Linked DNA regions of Notamacropus eugenii. The protein of the gene in region 1 purifies or fractionates together with the protein of each later gene. This does not show direct contact. Links are inferred from orthologs where the notes say so. Each region holds a gene or a part of one and is shown on either strand. Other genes may lie near its edges. The genes, in order: SLC7A14 and GOLM1.

The links.
Region 2: the proteins of SLC7A14 (region 1) and GOLM1 purify together in Homo sapiens (co-immunoprecipitation; 3 studies listed by BioGRID and IntAct, with this or other methods). This does not show direct contact. The link is inferred for Notamacropus eugenii from reciprocal best matches to the Homo sapiens genes SLC7A14 and GOLM1.

What each region holds. Positions count from the first base shown.
Region 1 is NC_092877.1:353,607,013-353,616,958, forward strand, and holds the start of SLC7A14 (solute carrier family 7 member 14), read left to right. Parts: upstream 1-5,616; 5' UTR 5,617-5,793; coding exon 5,794-6,097; intron 6,098-9,946. UniProt on the Homo sapiens protein: Imports 4-aminobutanoate (GABA) into lysosomes. May act as a GABA sensor that regulates mTORC2-dependent INS signaling and gluconeogenesis. The transport mechanism and substrate selectivity remain to be elucidated.
Region 2 is NC_092872.1:76,912,360-76,922,122, reverse strand, and holds the start of GOLM1 (Golgi membrane protein 1), read left to right. Parts: upstream 1-5,641; 5' UTR 5,642-6,325; intron 6,326-9,763.

The DNA.
Region 1 (9,946 bases):
TCTAATCAGGATATAAGTCTGAAAGTTAAGGTTTTTTTCCCAGATATTTGTGGTGCCATTGAGGTATCATTCAAACAAGAAATACACCATAAAGGTGAAGGCTCTAACATTCCAACATATCTCAGATGTGAAACCAAGTAAACTGACACTACTCCCCTGTGAACCAAACTGCCACATTTCCCCTGACTCTGTTAATGAATTAGTGTTTTCAAATACTCTGGAAGCTGATAATCATTGTACCAAGTGCTAAGTAGTTTGAATTAATAGTGTTAGTAGCAAAACCACTAATAGTGTCAGTGGCAAAACCACTCCCAAAGGGGCTTACCGAAAGAGAAGCATATTAGCATAAGGGATAGAGAAAGGGGTCCTTGGAAAGACCTGGATTCAAGTCCTTCAACTGACACAAATTAGCTGTGTGACGCTGGATAAGTCACTTAACCAGTTAGTGCTCCCAGGCACCACCCTAAGATTGTAAGATTCGGAACAGATGCCCATCTGAATTGTCTGAGGAAATTCCTCACCTTCAGGCACTTTGTACATGTTTGAAATCACAGTTCTGGTTTAAAAAAATATTTCAAAGGAAAAAGCCTTGATCATATCAGTCATATACCTAGAATTGATGCTTGATTCTAATCTGGATGAATTTCTAATAAATAGGTACATTTATAATGCTCCCATGTTCCAAGAAACTAATCATGCTATTTATTAAATTCAGTTCGTAAGAATTTATTTCTTGCCTGTTATATAAAAGACACTCTATTATAGTCTGCAGACAATGAAAATTAAGCAGCCCCTGCCCTCAGGGAGTTTATATTCTATTCATCTGTCTCTCAGTTGTGAAATTACTTTTGGGAAGTACAAAGCTGGCTTTATTGATTTTCCCCTCCTCCCCCATTTCTAGTGATTCCTTCAAACCTCCAGCATCAGATACAAAATTCTGTCTGGCATTCAGAGCCTTCACAACCTGGCCTTCCCTCCTCCTTTCCAGTTTTCTTATTCCTTACTCCCCTGCCCCTGTCTAGTGACACTGACCTTGCTATTTCTAGAACAAGACATTCCATCTCCCAACACTCCAGCTGTTTTCACTGGCTGTTCAACATTCCTGGAATGCTCTGCATCCTCATCCCCACCTCCTGTTTCCATGACTTCCTCGAAGTCCCAGCTAAATTCCACTTCCTCTGAGAAGTCTTCCCTTTTAATGCTGGCCCCTTTCCTATGTGGATTGTCTCCAATCGATTCTGTGTTTAGCACAGTGACCAGCACACAGTTAGTGCTTAATAAATGCTTATTGACTGACTAACTAACAAATCAGTGAATAGAAGTCATATACAACAGGGTAATTTCAAGAGGTAAAGAGTACTCTAGAGCTGAAAGAGACCTTAGAATTCATTTCATTCAGTTCTTTCTTTGAGAATTGAGGAAGCTGAGGAAACCAAGGCCCAGAGATGTAACTGACTTGCCCAAGATCTCACAGCTAAGAGGTAGAAGAGCCATGAACTGGTGTTCTTTCATCTCACTGAGTCTTAGAATGTCTTGGGTGTTTCAGACAGCTGAAGTCTAAATTGAAAGTTCAGGGTGAAGGTGAGGGATTTTAGATAGGAAAGTCATTTCACACATATAAGATTTATCCTGTGTAAGCTAAGGATAGCCCAAAAGATGAGTAAGACCCAGACTCCCTCCAGGTACAATAACTCACAGTTCTGGAGGACAGGTAGACTAAATGTTATTATACCCATTTTACAGATGAGAGAACTGATGATTTGACCATAAGAACTTAGTGGCTGAATCTTAGCTGTCACTGACACCCTAGGCAAGGAACACAAAATATCCCATCAAATAAAGACACACAATTGAAGGAATTGGGGAAGATCACTGGAAGTGAGGATCCCTGGGAAGAGAGACCTTGGGACCCCACTCATGGAGGAGAAACAGAAACCCCAGGATGCTGACCCCTGTGGGCAGAGATCCTGAGACCCCGTGAGGTTACGGCTAGAGAAGTTGATCCCAGGGAATGATACCAGCTGATAGCAGTGAGTGATAGCAAGGTAAGGAGACAGGGAAGACTGCACTGGAGAGAGAGGAATGCCATCTTCTAATTTCCTATTTTAGCCAATTATTATTTCTGCCCATTTGTCTGATTTGATTATGCACATTTGTTACAAAGCAAGGCTTTTGCTGAAGGGATAGAAGAAGATGAGTTAGGGGAGTGATAAACAGGAAAAAAAAGATATGAATAAAACTTTTCCTTTATTTGAAAAGCAATTAAAAGATGCAGGAGGGATACAAACGGAGCAACTTTGTTAATTGCCTCGTTAAGTTTAGTACATGCACATACATACCTATATATTTATTTTTTTAATCCATCTGTAACGTTAATTATTCTCCATAACTACTTGCTAAGCTCGTTTGTTTCTATATGGTTAAAGGAATGTAAATATCGAGTGGAGCCAAGATGGCGGAGTAGAAAGACGCACATACACATAGCTCTGAACCCACAACCCATAGAACGGCTACAGGGAAGTAACTCACGGCGAATTCCGCACCCAGAGGCCACGGAACATTGGAGCGAGGGAGATTTCTGTTCCAGAGAGACCTGCAAACCTCTCGCGGGGGGGTCCTTCGCGCTGCGGACTGGGCGCCGGGACTGGGAGCTGAGTGCAGCCCTGCCGCGGCACCGAGAGGAAAAGATCCGAGCAGGCTTCACAGATAGGATCTCCAGCGGCCACGCGGGTCCCTCCACCCACAGAGGGATCTGCAAACCTCTCGCAAAAGGTCCATCGCGCTGCAGACACAAAGCCCAGCCCAGACCTGCTGCGGCCACGGCTGCGGCACCGAGAGAAACAGATCCGAGCAGGCTTCAGGGACGGGATCTCCAGCGGCCGCACAAGTCCCTCCACCCACAGGTGACAGGGGTGGGTGAGAGAGTCTCTTTGGCGGGTCGAGAGGGGAGTGGGGTGCCCCCATAATTCAGGCCCCCCCCCCGGGAGGTAGAAGCTGAGAGGCGGCTGCAGACAGGGGCTCCCCAAGCGGGCGGGAGCCTGAATCCATTGCGGAAGGTCTGCGCATAAACCCCCTGAGGGAACTGAGCCTGAGAGGCAGCCCTGCCCCGATCTCAGCACCAGATCATAATCTCATACTGAATAGCAGCCCTGCCCCCGCCCAAAGCCCTGAGGCTGGAAGCAGCATTTGAATCTCAGACCACAAACACGGGCTGGGAGGATCAGGAGGTGAGGTGGGTGTGAGGAAAATATTCAGAGGTCAAGTCGCTGGCTGGGAAAATGCCCAGAAAAGGGAAAAGAAATAAGACTATAGAAGGTTACTTTCTTGGCGAACAGGCATTTCCTCCCTTCCTTTCTGATGAGGAAGAACAATGCTTACCATCAGGCAAAGACACAGAAATCAAGGCTTCTGTGTCCCAGCCCACCCAATGGGCTCAGGCCATGGAAGAGCTCAAAAAGAATTTTGAAAATCAAGTTAGAGAGGTGGAGGAAAAGCTGGGAAGAGAAATGAGAGACATGAAGTCAAAGCATGAACAGCAGATCAGCTCCCTGCTAAGGGAGACCCAAAAAAATGTTGAAGAAATTAACACCTTGAAAACTAGCCTAACTCAATTGGCAAAAGAGGTTCAAAAAGCCAATGAGGAGAAGAATGCTTTCAAAAGCAGAATTAGCCACATGGAAAAGGAGATTCAAAAGCTCACTGAAGAAAATAGTTCTTTCAAAATTAGAATGGCACAGATGGAGGCTAATGACTTTATGCAAAACCAAGAAATCACAGAACAAAGAGAGAAGAATGGAAAAATGGAAGATAATGTGAAATATCTCATTGGAAAAACAACAGACCTGGAAAATAGATCCAGGAGAGACAATTTAAAAATTATGGGACTACCTGAAAGCCATGATCAAAAGAAGAGCCTAGACATCATCTTTCATGAAATTATCAAGGAAAACTGCCCTGAGATTCTAGAACCAGAGGGCAAAGTAAATATTCAAGGAATCCACAGAACACCGCCTGAAAGAGATCCAAAAAGAGAAACTCCTAGGAACATTGTGGCCAAATTCCAGAGTTCCCAGGTCAAGGAGAAAATACTGCAGGCAGCTAGAAAGAAACAATTCAAGTATTGTGGAAATACAATCAGGATAACACAAGATCTAGCAGCCTCTACATTAAGGGATCGAAGGGCATGGAACAGTATATTCCAGAAGTCAAAGGAACTAGGACTAAAACCAAGAATCACCTACCCAGCAAAACTGACTAAAATACTTCAGGGGAAAAAATGGTCTTTCAATGAAATAGAGGATTTTCAAGTATTCTTGATGAAAAGACCAGAGCTGAAAAGAAAATTTGACTTTCAAACACAAGAATAAAGAGAACCATGAAAAGGTGAACAGCAAAGTGAGGTCATAAGGGACTTACTAAAGCTGAACTGTTTACATTCCTACATGGAAAGACAATATTTGTAACTCTTGAAACATTTCAGTATCTGGGTACTGGGTGGGATTACACATGCACACACGCTCACATACACAGAGACAGAGTGCACAGAGTGAATTGAATAGGATGGGATCATATCTTTAAAACAAAATGAAATCAAGCAGTGAGAGAGAAATATATTGGGAAGAGAAAGGGAGAAATTGAATGGGGCAAATTATCTCTCATAAAAGAGGCAATCAAAAGACTCATTAGTGGAGGGATAAAGAGGGGAGGTGAGAGAAAAACATGAAGTCTACTCTCATCACATTCCACTAAAGAAAAGAATAAAGTGCACACTCATTTTGGTAGGAAAACCTATCTCACAATACAGGAAAGTGGGGGATAAGGGGACAAGCAGGGTGGGGGGGATGATAGAAGGGAGGGCATGAGGAGGAGAGTGCAATTCGAGGTCGACACTCATGGGGAGGGATAGGATCAAAAGAGAATAGAAGTAATGGGGGACAGGATAGGTTGGAGGGAAATATAGTTAGTCCTATACAGCACAACTATTATGGAAGTCATTTGCAAAACTACACAGATTTGGCCTATATTGAATTGCTTGCCTTCCAAAGGGAAGGGGTGGAGAGGGAGGGAGGTAAAGAAGGTGGAACTCAAAGTGTTAGGATCAACTGTCGAGTAATGTTCTTGCCAATAGGAAATAAGAAAAACAGGTAAAGGGGTATAGAAAGCTATCTGCCCCTACAGGACAAAAGAGAAGATGGAGACAAGGGCAGAGAGGGATGATAGAAGAGAGAGCAGATTGGTCATAGGGGCAATTAGAATGCTTGGTGTTTGGGGGGGGAGGGGATAAAAGGGGAGAAAATTTGTAACCCAAAATTTTGTGAAAATGAATGTTAAAAGTTAAATAAATAAATTTAATAAAAAAAAAATAAAAAAAAAAATAAAAAAAAAAAAAAGGAATGTAAATATCACCAGGGCCTTCTGAATGTCAGTGCCCAAGAACAGAGATCCAATGGCCAGATCCTAGTTATGGCCCTCAGCTGAGCTGAGACTAAACCACAGTCCTCCTGGCCTCTTGTTCCTTCCACTACGCCTTGGCTCTTCAGACCCAACATGTTGTTTCCACATGATCTCACTCATCCTTTTCTTTTGTCCTTTTTCTTTCTAGGGTTTCCCACAGGACTCTAAGCTTCAGGGAAAAGAGGAAGCCGTGGCTAAAGAATGTGGCTGTGGGGCCCCCTGGATCTTTTCTGAAAGGAGAGTCTCTCCTCCCTTGAAGCTGATGTGCTCCTGAGCCATTGACTGAGCCTTCCAATCTCTCCAAGCAGCTGGCATCTGTCTCCATCCCTGTTGGTCACAATGAGTGGCTTGTTTGCCTCTCTGGACCCCCGGCGGGTACAGTGGGGGGCTGCTTGGTATGCCATGCACTCTCGGATCCTTCGCACCAAGCCTGTGGAGTCAATGCTGGAAAGCACAGGTGGCACCACATCTCATGGGACCAAGTTGGCCCAGGTGCTCACCACTGTAGACCTCATCTCCCTTGGGGTTGGCAGCTGTGTGGGCACCGGCATGTATGTGGTGTCTGGGCTTGTGGCAAAAGAAATGGCAGGACCTGGTGTGATCGTGTCCTTTATCATCGCAGCGGTGGCTTCTATCCTATCAGGTGAGCAGCTCAGTCTCGGGGTCAATGTTGGGGAAGAGGCAGAGTTGGGAGGTTAGGGCAAGGAGAATCACTTTGGTACATCATTTTCAGTTGCCCTCCCAGAGCTGAGGGTGTTGAGATAGCAGAAGCAGAGTAGACAGGGCTAAGAAATAAGATGGCAAAGAATAAAGCTATTCCAACTGACACTTCACTGAATAAATGAATGAATGAATGAATGAATGAATGAATGAATGAATGAATAAATGAATGAATAAATGAAAAGAATTTATTCAGTAGTTACTATGTAAATTAAATTTAAAAAGCACTAATTAAGCACCTACTACATGCCAGATACTTTGCTACATGCTCAGGTTAAAAAAAAAAAAAACCAAACCAAAGTTTTATACAAAAAAAATATGCCTAGTTCCAAACTCAGATTTCTCTGATATAAGTCTCATTTGCAGTATATAGAAGGAATTGCTTCAAATTTGCAATAAGAGCCATTCCCGAATTGACAAATGGTCAAAGGATATGAACGAGCAGCGATCCAGCTTCACAACAAGTGGTCCCATGTTGCTGGAGTCCAGAGTTCTGGGTCTTGGAAGCACAAGACCAGTTCTGCCCGGAGAAAGAGTGAGCTCCTGGAGGCAGGGATCGTTTCATTCTTTACTTCAAATGTGGGTGTTTTTCTTTAAGCTGTGGTCATGAAGATTTAAACCTCTGCCCTCACTTTTGCTTAAAGATCTCCAGGAAGGGGAAACCCATGCCCTCTGAGTGGCCCATTCCCCCTTGAGAGAGCTCTCATCATTAGGGAGGTTTGCTTGACGCAGAGGCTAAATTGGCTTCGATGCTCCTACTCAATGTTGGCTTAATGTTTTGATACAGGGACTACAATTTAGGAAAGATGTGGGAAACAGCAAGTTCAGCAGGACCTGTGCCAATCTCCCAGCACCCACACCTGGCACTCAGATACAATTCTGTTATGCAACAAGAGAACCAGCTTCCCTCCCATCTTCTCCTTTTTGCCCTGCTCCTCCCCCTACATACACACATGCACACACACACACACATTCACACATTCACACAGACACACTCATATTACACACTCATTCTCTCACACACTCACATGCATACACTCACATAGTCTCATACATATACATACACACACATATACACACAAACATATATATTCATACACACACATATACACAATGGAATATTTGGATAAAGTATAAGCATGGGATCAAGCCAACTGGTTTTTATCCATTGAAAAACTGTCAGTAAAGCAGCTTGTAGCAGTGGGGCACAGTGGAAAGGGCACTGGCTCTGGAGTCATCAGACCGGGATGCTTACTTCTGATGCTTACTGACTGTGTGACTTTAGACAATTCTCTTCACCTCTTAGAGGCTCAGGCTCATCATCTGTAAAACAGGGTTGGCTGAGGTCCCTTCCAGTCCTAGATCTCTGACCCTGATTTCTTGAACTGTGAAAGCAGAGAGATTTCTGATTTTAAGAGTTCCAGGTAAAGATAAAGATAAGACCTGTATTTTGCTACTTCAAGATATCAAAGAATTCTGCCTGGTAATGAGCCTAGCCTTTCTCACTTGGCTTTTATAAATACTCATTTCCACTCTCGGCTGCTTCTCCATTAATCTTGTGCTTCTCTAATTTTTTAAGAGTTCTTCATAGTAATGGGGATAAATAACACATTTCAATGTGTGCCTAGTCAGCATTGTTGAAGTCCCTTTTGTTAATGGGCAATGACAAATTAAGAGCACCTGTGCTTTTCTCAAACTCTGAAGCCAGAGAGCAAAGCTCACGTCCTAGTGATGTTTTTCAGCTGCCTTTCAGAATCTGGAATTGACAAGGGTTCTGCTGCTATCAAGAGTAAGAAAAAAAATTAACAAAGTTCTTTAAGATTGTTCAAAAAGGGGATTCCAGAAACATTTCCTAAAGACTGATATCAAAACTAAGGATGGTAGATCTTTTTACAGTAAGAGCACAGTTGACCAAAACACTGAATTACCCAGGGCTTTACCTGTATTCAGGGGTGTGCTGGTAAATGTTTAACAACCAGATCTCTGAAAAGCAGGAGGAAGGAGAACCACACACTTTTAAGCGTAGTCTATGTTAGTAACACTTTCTCCATCACTTTCTAAAGTCTAGATAACAAAAAAATTTTAATCAAACCCTGGTTTGTAGTGTTTGCTGATTTCTGAGATATGAATGCTCACACTGAAAATTTGATGATCATCTCCAGTGAGACTGTATGAGTTGGCTCCTGTTTGTACTCAACATTTATTTTCTCAATGTTTTATTGATGATTTTCCAAATCACTTTCATTTCCTAATGCTGTCCCCAGCTAACCAAACTCACCTGTGTGACAAAGAATTAACATGTTGTCCATGTCTGAAGGGCATAGTTGTCATTCTGCACCTGTAGCTCACCTTCACTAGTCCCCAGGAGGAAAGATTATCATTGCATTAATTAGAATGTGTGTTTTTTTCTTTACATCACTGTAGTCATGAAAATTGTTCTCTTGCAGCTACTTGCTTTGTTTGCATCAGTTCATGCAAATCTTCTTAAGTTTCTCTGAATTTTTCATATTTTTCATTTCTTACAATGCCATAATATTCATAGCATTCATGTAGCATAATTTGTTCTTCCATTCCCCCATCAATGGGCTTTGTTTTGGGGTTTGCTTTATTGCTACAACAAATAATGCTGCTCTGAATGTTTTGATACACACACACAGTCACCTTTCCTTCTGTCTTTACACTTTGGAGTAAAAGACTAGCATTGGTATTATTTGGTCAAAAGATATGAACATTTGGGTCACTTTGGAAACACAGTTCCAAAAAACGTTCTAGATGAGCTGGAACAACAGCATATTCAGGCTACATTTGTCTCCTAGGGAGAAGCAAATCACCAAAAATGAAAACGAACAAACCCATACTGAAGATTTCATTGTGGGGGTGGGGACTGACCTGTGGTTTTACTGAAATAGAAACAAGCAAACTCTGTACAAACAAGACAAAGATAGGTAGGAAAAGCTGGTAGTAGTCTCAGAGGGAAGGCACTAATATCAAGGAAGACTAGAGATCACCTTGCCCACCTCCCTCATGTTACAGATGAGGAAGCCGAAGGTCAGAGAGTCTCAGGATGAATGTGCAGCCCCCTGCAAGGAAGCATGAGCCAGATGTTTGAGGATCTGAAAATTTAAACCGAGTAGCCCATTAGTAGCACATGGATTTCTTTTCCTCTGAGAAGGGCAAGGTTTTAATTTGATTCTAAGTAAAGCCTCCAAGTTCCCTAAAATACATACACTATATATATATGTATATATATATATATGTCAATATACATATGTGTGTATATGTGTGTTTCAGCTTCAGGCTTAATTATGTTCAAGTCAATCTAACAACCAATTACTGAGCTCCTACTAGGTTTCAAACAACACAGATGCAAACATTTAGGGGGGAAACAGTATATCCTACAGGGAGATATAATTTGTAGGCAGCTACATATTATACATCTATACATACATTCACACACACTCACATAAGTGCACATTTACATCTATTTGTATGGACATATGTGTGTATACACACACATACATAGTGTGTATACAGACAAATAAATAGAACCAAGGTTTTGCCTTTCTTTTCCTCTGAGCACTTAGCACAGTGTCTGGCACAAACTAAATGAATATTAATAAGTACTTGTTGGATGGTTAAACTAAAAATACATGCAAAGTAAATTCAGCGTAATGTGAGAGAGGAGAAATCACTCACCGCTAATGGGATCTGGAAAGGTACACTAGGGAGTTAGTGATTTCAAAGTCGAGATGAGGAGAGAGAGTACTCCAGG
Region 2 (9,763 bases), on another chromosome or scaffold:
ACTGTTCTATTTTTCTGAATTTGGAACCAAATTTTCCTTCCAATAACTGGTCTTTAGATGTTTGGCATCAAAGCCCCTCAGAATCTCCTTATCTCTCAAAGACCTAGAAAGCTTTCTCTGATTTCCAACTACTGCAAAGGAAGATGTTGGTTTGCCTTTCTAATTCTCACTTCTCAGAACATCTGATAGCCTTTTTCCACAGTAGAAGCTGAAAGGGCATGAGCCGATGAGCAAGAGTTCCTTTTTTGATGTCATTAACAGCTAAAAAACACCATAAGTTCTCCACTAAACCTACTTTATGAATAATGGGACCTGTGATGAAACCAGAATATTAATACTAGACTCAGGAGAGCACTCATTTTGCCTTGGATCAGTAAATAGAAACGTGGACTGTACATAAGGATCTCTACTCATTTTGCCTTGGATCAGTAAATAGAAACATGGACTGTACATAAGGATCTCTACTCATTTTGCCTTGGATCAGTAAATAGAAACGTGGACTGTACATAAGGATCTCTACTGGCAACATATTGACTTAGTTTTAAAATGTAATGTTATCTATGATTCATTGTATTTTTATTTATTATGTAAATATTTCCCAATTCTGTTTTAACCTTTTAATCTGCTTCTGCTGCAAATGGGAGTGTTGCTAGCTGCAAAGGGCAGTGTCATGTTTGACACCTATCTTACATCACGGGGGCCCTGGGCTAAACGTCTTCCAGAAAGCAAGACAAAAAAATGGATGTTCAATAATGAGGAAGAATTTGAAATATTTTTAGAAAGAAAACCAGAGTCTTCCCTTGGGAGGTGAGGAAGGGAGAAAATTTGAAACAACTAAAAAAAAAAATGAATGTCAAAAATTGTCTTTACATGCAATTGGGGGGAGGAATAAAATATTTTTAAAAAAGAAAAGAAAGAAAATCAGAACTGAAGAGATTACTTGCCTCTCACACACCCCAAACAACAGAAATACCAGAGGAGTGAATAAGTGAAGCAGGCAAAGACAGCAGTGTTGTCACAGTAGTGACAGCAGAGAGATCAGCCTTCTTTCTAAGTGTACTTGAAGAAATAGGGGAGAGGGCAAGAATCTGGGAGACTGAAGAATGAAGAGATGAACAGGGGGTGGTCTGGACAGGACCTGGTGACACCCTGCTACAAGTGAAAGCTTCTTTTCTGGGACTACATTACAACATGAGAGGGTACATATAAGGGAGAATGGGGAAGGATAGAGAGGAGTGAGGGATTGGCAGGGGGCAAATCAAGGGTTAGCAGTGAGGGGAAGATGAACTCTGTGATCTCAAAAAGAGGAGGTTAACAGGGAGTAGGTGAAGAGGAAGGTAGAAAGCTCAAAAAGGGGAAAGAAAGGAAAGAGGCCTTACTTTGGAGGTGGGAGGTTGTTCCACTGATGAATGCTCTAATGGGTGAAGAAAAATGATTGGTAAAGGGAAATGGGCACTTCACACTGGATGGGGGATTTGGTCCTCAGAAAGTCTTCTTGGAATTCCTAGGGGCACCTGACACTGGAAGAGTAGGGAAGCCTGGACACGGGGAGGATATTTCTAGGCAAAGATAGAAAAAAAAAAAAGGTCAACAAGAGAGAGTATACTCTCTTTGAGTGGGTGATGGGTGGGCAGCATAATCAGGGACGTAGTGGGAAATGGCACAACAGAAGAGGGGAATTCATGAAGCAAACCCTACAAAACAATGGCAGAAAGCATACAGAGGGGAGAGCCTAGAATGGATCCCTTGGAAGTTTTTATTACATGAAGAATACAAAGAGAGAAACCAGATAATTTTAGGAGACATGAATCAGAAAATGAGGGTTCAGAGCAGAGGTTCCCCAATTTATTTGACCTACTGCTCCCTTTTAAAAAAAATTCAGTGCACCCCCAATCTACTTTATTTGATCCATTAATGTTTTTTTTAATTTGCATCCTTTCAAATAAATATAAATTAAAAAAAAATGATCCATCTTAAATTTAATAACTCATTATAAATTTTTAGGCTTTTTTTCCTGCATTGAAATTTTGATGATACAATATGTAGTATTGTATTGTAAACAAGCTATTACAAGCACATATTTCTGCCCATCGTGCTGGACCTCCTGACAATGTGCAATATGCTTCCCTGCCAACACTTGCTTGTTAAGACCTGTCAGTAGACTTGACCACTAAGCAGTTATAATCTGCATTTTATATGTTTATTTGGAAAATAATGAAATCACTACTAGTTTAACTCTTACATAACAGATGAAATATATATGAATGGTTTTTCAAAATTTTCTTATTTTCTGTTCTTTCTTTGTGCTTTTACTGCCCCTTATTTGTATTTAATGCCCCTCAATTGTACCCCCCTAGATCATTCTAGTGCCTCCTAGGGGGCACACATTTAGAGCATTGATTGACTACTTTGGGAACCTATGAAACAGAAAGAGAAGATAAATGATGAAGAGAGCAAGAGAAGCTGTTTTTGAAAAGTGGTGCAAAAAACCTGGATTTCAAAACTGTAGGAACAGGACTAGCTGAAGAGGAGAAGAGGAAGGGGAAATCTATTTGGTTAACAGAAGAAAAAAGAAGAAATATATAACCAGAAAAAAAGCAGGAGAGAAAAGGGAATTAACAAAATCCTAAAAAAGAGAAAGGGGTATTAATTGAGAAGAGGGGATCAGGGGAGAGTGGAAGAGAGACAGTGAGAACTGGGTCACCTCAAAAAAAGATGAAAGTCATAAACAAACATACTACCGTGTTTCCAGCAGAAGAGGGAACTTGAAACTGAAAAGTTTCAGCACAGACAACATTAATGTATCTAGAATGAGAAAGGAAATGGTCAAATGGGAAAAAAACATTCTTTGTATCAAGTTTCTCTGATCAGAGTTTGGTATCATGATAACTATATCTATATCTATGTGTAATAGCCATTACACAATATATAAATGGTTAAAAGTTATGAACAAACAGTTCTCAAAAGAACTGCAAAGTGTTCTCAACCACGGGAAAAATGCTTCAAAACACTAATAAAAAGAGAAAAGCAAATCAAAACAACTTCAAGGTTTCACCTCACACCTGGCAAATTGGCAAAACTGACAAAAAATAGTAAATATTGGAGGGGTTGTAGAAAGATAGGTAGGCCAATACATTGTTGGTGGAGCTATGAAATAGTACAATCATTTTGGAAAGCAATTTGGGAATCATGCAAGTAAAGTGACCAAAAATGTCCATACATTTGAACCAGAGACTCCATTATTGGATTTATACATTAAGGAAGCTATCAATAAGGAAAAAAGTCCCCATATACTCCAAAATATTTATAGCAGCACTTTTTGTGATATCTAAGAATTATAAACAAAGCAGATGCCTATCAATTGGGTAACAGCTAAACAAATTGTGGTACATGAATGTAATGGAATTGTGCTATAAGAAATGATGCATATGATAAATACAGAAATGAATTTAAAGATTTACAGAGTGATAAGCAGAGCCAAGAAAACAATATATAAGGAAACTATAATAATGTAAATGGAAAGAATGACACATGAAAAGCTCAAAAATAAATGTAACAAAATAAAAAAGATCAAGCAAGACTCAGAAGAAGAAGAACGACAAGATATCCCCAATATACCCCTTCATGAAGGTAGGAGATTCACAGGTGTTTTTAGACTTTTTCAATGTATTGATCAGTCGTACTGACTACCCTTTCCCCCCAAATATTTGTCATTTGGGATGACTTTCTAGGAGGAGGAGGAGAGCGATATATGGAATACTACGATAATGTAAGAAATAGAAAAATAGGTAAAAACTTATTAAAAAACAAACAAAGCACTGTCTGGACTGGAGATTTGTGTACACGTGTAAGCCAAGGGCTTCCTCCTCTAATAAAGTACCCAAGTATACTCTGGAAACTTCTCACTTTCTTGGCACTTTGCTCCCACTCAAGTTCAATCTAGGATCTACAGTATCTGGAATTTTACCAAAGGTAAAAAAAATATGGAAGGTAGTTAACCAGTTCTTCTCATAAGCACTCACAATGGTACTCCCTCCTAAAGTCCTTCTGTACCACGTAGCCCTCCTCTAATCTGAATCCTCCTTACCTTCTCCCTAACTCAGGTCTTTCCAGCAGATGGTGCTCATTATTTTATCTCCAGGGGACCAGCTCTCAGATAGTTAGCATAGTGTTTAAGCCCTTTCTAGCCTGCAGGCCACATTCCCTTCAGTCTTTTGAAACCTTAAGTGGTTTGTATTTATATGGATGTACACCAACCCACTCTGGAGCTCCATGGCCTCATCCTCCACATAATTAGTATGGTCTGAGGAACAAATCTTTAGACAATTTAAATGAATGTTTTTCCACTTCTGGGTAGGCTCTTGATAACTGTCTCAGTTGTCTCTTTCTACCAGTTACTGGCTGTGCTTCCTAGCCCCAGCCCCCTCTCTTCCCATTAGCTCTTGGGGTTAAGGGGACTAGCCTGCTCTCTTAATTCCTTTCCATCTCCCATCTTTCTTTACAGCAACTGGGCTACATTACGCAAAGTATCCTTGTCTGATCCTTCAACGCTCTTAAAAAAAAAAAAAAAAGCACTGGCCAAGCTACTCTTACTGCTTCCCCTAAGGGTGAAGATTTATGTCTTTAATATAGATAGATTCCAGGGCCATAGAAACAAATCCTAAAGTGAACTGAGATTCTCCCAGTTTCCTCAAACTGAATCCATTAGCTGGAAATGGAGGTGGGTGGTGGGAGGATTGTGATGGATGATTCAGGATAAACTACATAACCTTTAGTCTCTTCCAATTCGGAAAGTCTATTGTTCTAGGATTTAAATATTTTTAAAAGAATTCTCTTAAACCAAGTGCTGCCATTCAGGATTTTTCCATTTTAAATAACTGTTCTAAAATCAAAGACATCAAAGACTGTGATATGCTAGAGAGGAAAGCATCAGGCATAAGACCCGGGCAAATCTGTGACTAGTCAAAGTTCATTTTTGCAGTTCCAAAGGTATTTCTTCTGTCCCTTTCCCTTTTGTTTCTGCTTTGAGGCAGCCTCCCATCAAAACCTGTTCTCTGGGACTGATTTGATGATCAGGCATTTCATTTAGCCTGAATCACTTTGAGTTACTTTTCCTAAGGACATCTGTATGTTAAGCCTTATCTCTAATTTTGGAACACGATTTTGTCCTTAGTTAAAAGAATGTCAGGCATCAAGAGGCAGGTAGAGGAGGTATTTTTATTTTCCCCAACAGGGCTTTTTGAAATCCCAACTAAATAGGCACAGACAAGGCCTTCAAAGTCCAGGTCAAGCTTACGGAGGCTACGGGCACCTCTTTCATTTGAAAGGACCATGTAATGCAAAGGCTGGATGGCAATGTGCCATTTCCAGAACATACAGCTTAGCCTAACAGCTTGAGAGAAAACAACAGTGCGAAATTCACACCAACTGGAAATGCCTTAGGGGAGACATCTCTATGGGTGTAAGAATGCTCCAGTGGGCAAACCTCCCCCCACCCCCTTCTCTCGGGACTTTTTTCCTTCCTAAGGTAAAGTAGTCTGTAACGTAGGGACCCCTTCCGCAGGACCAAGGTCACTGACCATCGCTCCACTCTTCCTCTCCCTTTTTACCCAAATTTTGCTGCACTGGCAGCGAAGGTGATGCAATCAAATTCTTAAGGACTAGGTGCAGTCAGATTCCGCTGGATCTAGAGGTGGAGGTGGGGCGGCTGGGACCGAGGGGAGGAAGGGAGGGGCTCCGCTTGGCACTGGACGGGTGGGTGAGAAACTTGTTTTTCCGGAGGAGGGGCAGCAGAGGGGCGACCGAGCTAGCGCGAGGGAGGAAGGGGGCCGCAGCAGCCGCGGGGCACGCGCTGGCTCCTGGCTGCCTCCAGGGCCCCTCGGTGCCAGCTTCCCGCCTCTTCCCCCTCCACCTCGCCCAGCCCCGTTAGCTGGCGATCGCGGCCGGGGCGCAGAGCCTTGGCAGCCCCTTTCTCCACGCTCCACCTTTCCCTCTCCCGGCAGCAGACGCGTCCGGCCAGCTGCGCGGCTCTGCCCCGAAGGGCGGGGATTTTGCTTCGGGCGGCCGCGACTGGGCTGGGGTTGGAGGAGTCAAAGGGCGCAGGCTCCCTCCGGGGTGGACGGACGGACGGAGGAGGGGTGGCTGCTCGGCTCCGGGCACTAGGCGAGGGCGTAGAGGAGGAGGAGGAGGAGGAAGGCTGCCCGGAGATCGGAGCGGGCGCGAAGCCGGGGGCGGGGAAGGTCCAGTGGCGGAGGCCCGCAGAGCTCCAGCCCGGTAGGGAGAGGGCCCGGGGAGCCACGAGCCACCCGATCCCGGAGCGGAGAAGGTGAGTCCGAGGAGTTGGACCAGCCCGCTTTCTGGGCGCCCTCTGTCCTTCCCTCCTTCCTTTGCTCATCTCCACCCCCACCCCCTTCCCCATCTTTCCTTCTCTTCCTTTCTCTTTCCTCTGCTGGAGTAACTTAGACCTTAGGGAGCCCCCCCCCCCCGAAATCCCCTCCCCATGTATTTCTGTCCCTTACTGGCGTGTTGTTGGTGTTCTGCTTTGTTTTATTTTCAGTTGAGTTACGGGTCCGTGCCTGGGTTTTATGGTGGGGGTAGCCTTCACTTCCACGTTAGACCGGACATCAGTTTCCTATCGCTGGAGAGAAGGTGCCCCTCCTCCCCTGCCAGTCCTGGATCCTCTTGCCCTTCTTCCCCTCCGGGAGGAGTCTGGCATTCTTTCCAAAGCTCCTCTGCTCCAGTGGAGGTGAATCTCCCCCCCCGCCCCCCCTGGGTTCCTCATTAGCATGCTTGTGGTTTACTGATTCTTTTTTCCTTGGGTTCTGTCATGAATGTTAATGTCAAAAAATAAAATCCCTCCCCATCCCCGGAAAATGAAGTTCCTGCTCTCGTTGTGAACGGATATTTGCTCAGCTGATACGGAGCGTGGGAGAAGAAGGAGTTCTTTCCCTCTTCCTGCGTCCCTTAGCCTGGCTGTCTTTATTGTATTTTCCTACGTTAGCCCAGGGTAGGCGCTGATTTGGGGCAGGTGCCCTTGGGGGAGAGGGTGTCTGTGATGGTGATGGCGGGGGCGGGGGGGGGGGAGATGACCCTGGGCTTCCTGCGGTCCGCGGGCACCTTGCTGGCTGCTGGTCTGCCTCGGCGTCCCGTCTGCCTCCGAGATCTCCCTTAAGCTAATTTCGTGAAACCTGAAAGAGAGGAAACCGGCTGGATGACGCTGTCTGGAGGGCACGATTAATGGTGCTGGGGCGAGGCAAAACTTTAGCGCTGCTCAAGTGCAAACCCACCTCGAACCGCACTTTCCTTTTCTGGAATGCGTCTTAAAGTACCAGTGTTATCATTGACCGACATGGATGGAAGCAAGGGTTTTACAAATCGTTTTTCACTGCCTTTTTTAACATTACTGATGGAATTGTCTTTGTGATATTGGGAAGCTGAAAACAACCCATTTTCATAAGACTGTACCTTTTTCAGTTTGGGAGAGCGGAACTTTCTGTGGCTTTACTTACCCCTGTTGGGTGTTCGGTGGGGGGGAGGGCTTCCAGCTCTAAGTTAAAGTAATACCTAAGGAAAATTGAAGAGGGAGTGGGCGAATCCCTGAAAGGGCCATTTATCCAGGAGAACATTCAGCAGCTGTCATTTGGAGTTGTCTTGTATTACTTAGTTTAAGGATATCAGGTGGGTACCAATTTAAGCCTTGGCAGTGTGTGGTGCAGAGTGGAGTGGAGCCTGGAGTGAAGAAGAAGACGCATTTTCCTAAGTTCAGATCTGGCCTCAGACACTAACTGTGTGACCCTGGGCAAGTCACTGAACCGTTTTTGCTTCAGTTTCTTCCTCTGTAAAATGAACTGGAAAAGGAAATGGCAAATCACTCCACATCTTTGTCAAAGAAACCCTAAATGGGGTCATGGAATGTTATGCATGACTCAACAGCCACAACATGTTTCCAGATTTTTCCAGACTGACTGCCACTGTTGATATACCCATGTAATGCCTATCCTTTTGATTCTTTCACAGTCACCACTGATGCTCCTCTCCCTCATCTTTTAAAGTGACTTTTATATAAGGTAATTCCTTATGAGAGGAGAATAGTTTATTTCTAGACTATAACTATTAATTTGTTAAAGGGATAATTTGAATGATGGGATATCATGGTTTAGAAGCAGAAACTGGAATTTAAAACAATTTTGAATTTCTGCCAAGAGTATCAGGCCCTTACTAGGCTGACTACATGTTACTTACAAGAATGAAAGAGATTGTTTAGAGGGCAAAAAAAAAATAGGTAGGGAAGGATTGTTACCATAATATTATAAGGGATGTAGACATTTAAGTTTTGCAAAGCAAAGGCTTTATTTGCATTCTCATTTTGTTTCTTTATCTGTAAGACTGGGATAAAAATAGAAGAACACCCTTGAGCCTTGTGTGAGAATAAAATGAGTTGTCCTTTGATAGCATGATATAAATGTTAGGTGTTATAATTTTTATTATTTTTTTCATTCTTTTATATGCAGTGGAATTCAGATGGAAATGATTCTATAACAGGTTACTATTGTACAGACTCCTTTTGTTTGTTTAATGTTTCATGACTTCAGAGGTAGATAGAACGATTGCTTTCTGTGACTGAACAAAAGTGTTGGCAGGTAAGTTCATCTTTGTAGGTTTACTGAAAGTATCTTTGGGGCAATTCCAGTAGCAGACAAGATCATAGGGATGAAATATGCTTCATCTTGTGCACATATGGTTTTGATTTTTTTTCTGTTGAGCCTCTATAATTTGAGATCTTTTCGTTCTACATATTTTTTTTTTAAATCGTATTTTAAAAATTCCAAACTTAAACTCCAAATAAAATGGCATTTCCATAGACATAATATAAGGGAAGAAAAGGACTCTTTTCTTCAAATATGCAAGAAGTTTGATATGTGACTTTCAGAGCTATCCTATGTGTCTGATTCTTCCTGGTCTTCTGTTCTGTGCATTTAAAAGTAGATGCTTCAGTCCTCTACCCTTCTTCTCTCTCCTCTCTCTTCTTCCCATCTTTCCTTCCTTCCCTACTGCCTCTCTTCTCTCTGGAAAAGAAAAAGAAAAACAAAGCCCTTGTAAAAAATATGGCAAGTTGACAAAATAACGCTCTACATTGGCCTTGTCTGAAAACGTATGTGTCTGCATCTTGGGTCTGTCATCTTTCAGTCTGACAGTGTGTAGCATGCTTCATCATCAGTCTTTCATTCTGCATAGTCTCGAGGTTATGAATATTTAGCATGCTAATATCTATTTAAATGTTTTTAATTTTTTTATGGGTCACTGTTATACTTGGTTGATTCTGTGATGACGCTTTGGTTCTAATAGTTTATTTTGCTGAATTCTCAAGAATGTTTTGAGATTAGTCTTTGCAGCATTTGTTGATTTATAAAGGAATATATGTTATTTTTATTCATCTCATTCTTTGACTGAGTTCAAATAAAAATGGTTCTGGGACAGGCTGTTATATTATTCTTTTGTAGTTAATGGCCTGTAGACTGTTGAACAGATAGATACAATAATGACTTTTTATAATTGAATGAAAGTATTAGGACATAAACTCACCTTCCGAAGGCTCATGGAAAGCATCTTTGGGACAAATCCAAGAGGAGACAATATCACAAGAATTATATATACCTCTAAGATGCTTTTTTTTTTATAGGATTTTGATTTCTTCTGCTAAGTCTATGCGTTTTGAAAAGTTTTTGTTACATGTAGCTTGGAGATTGTGATTAATCATTGCTAT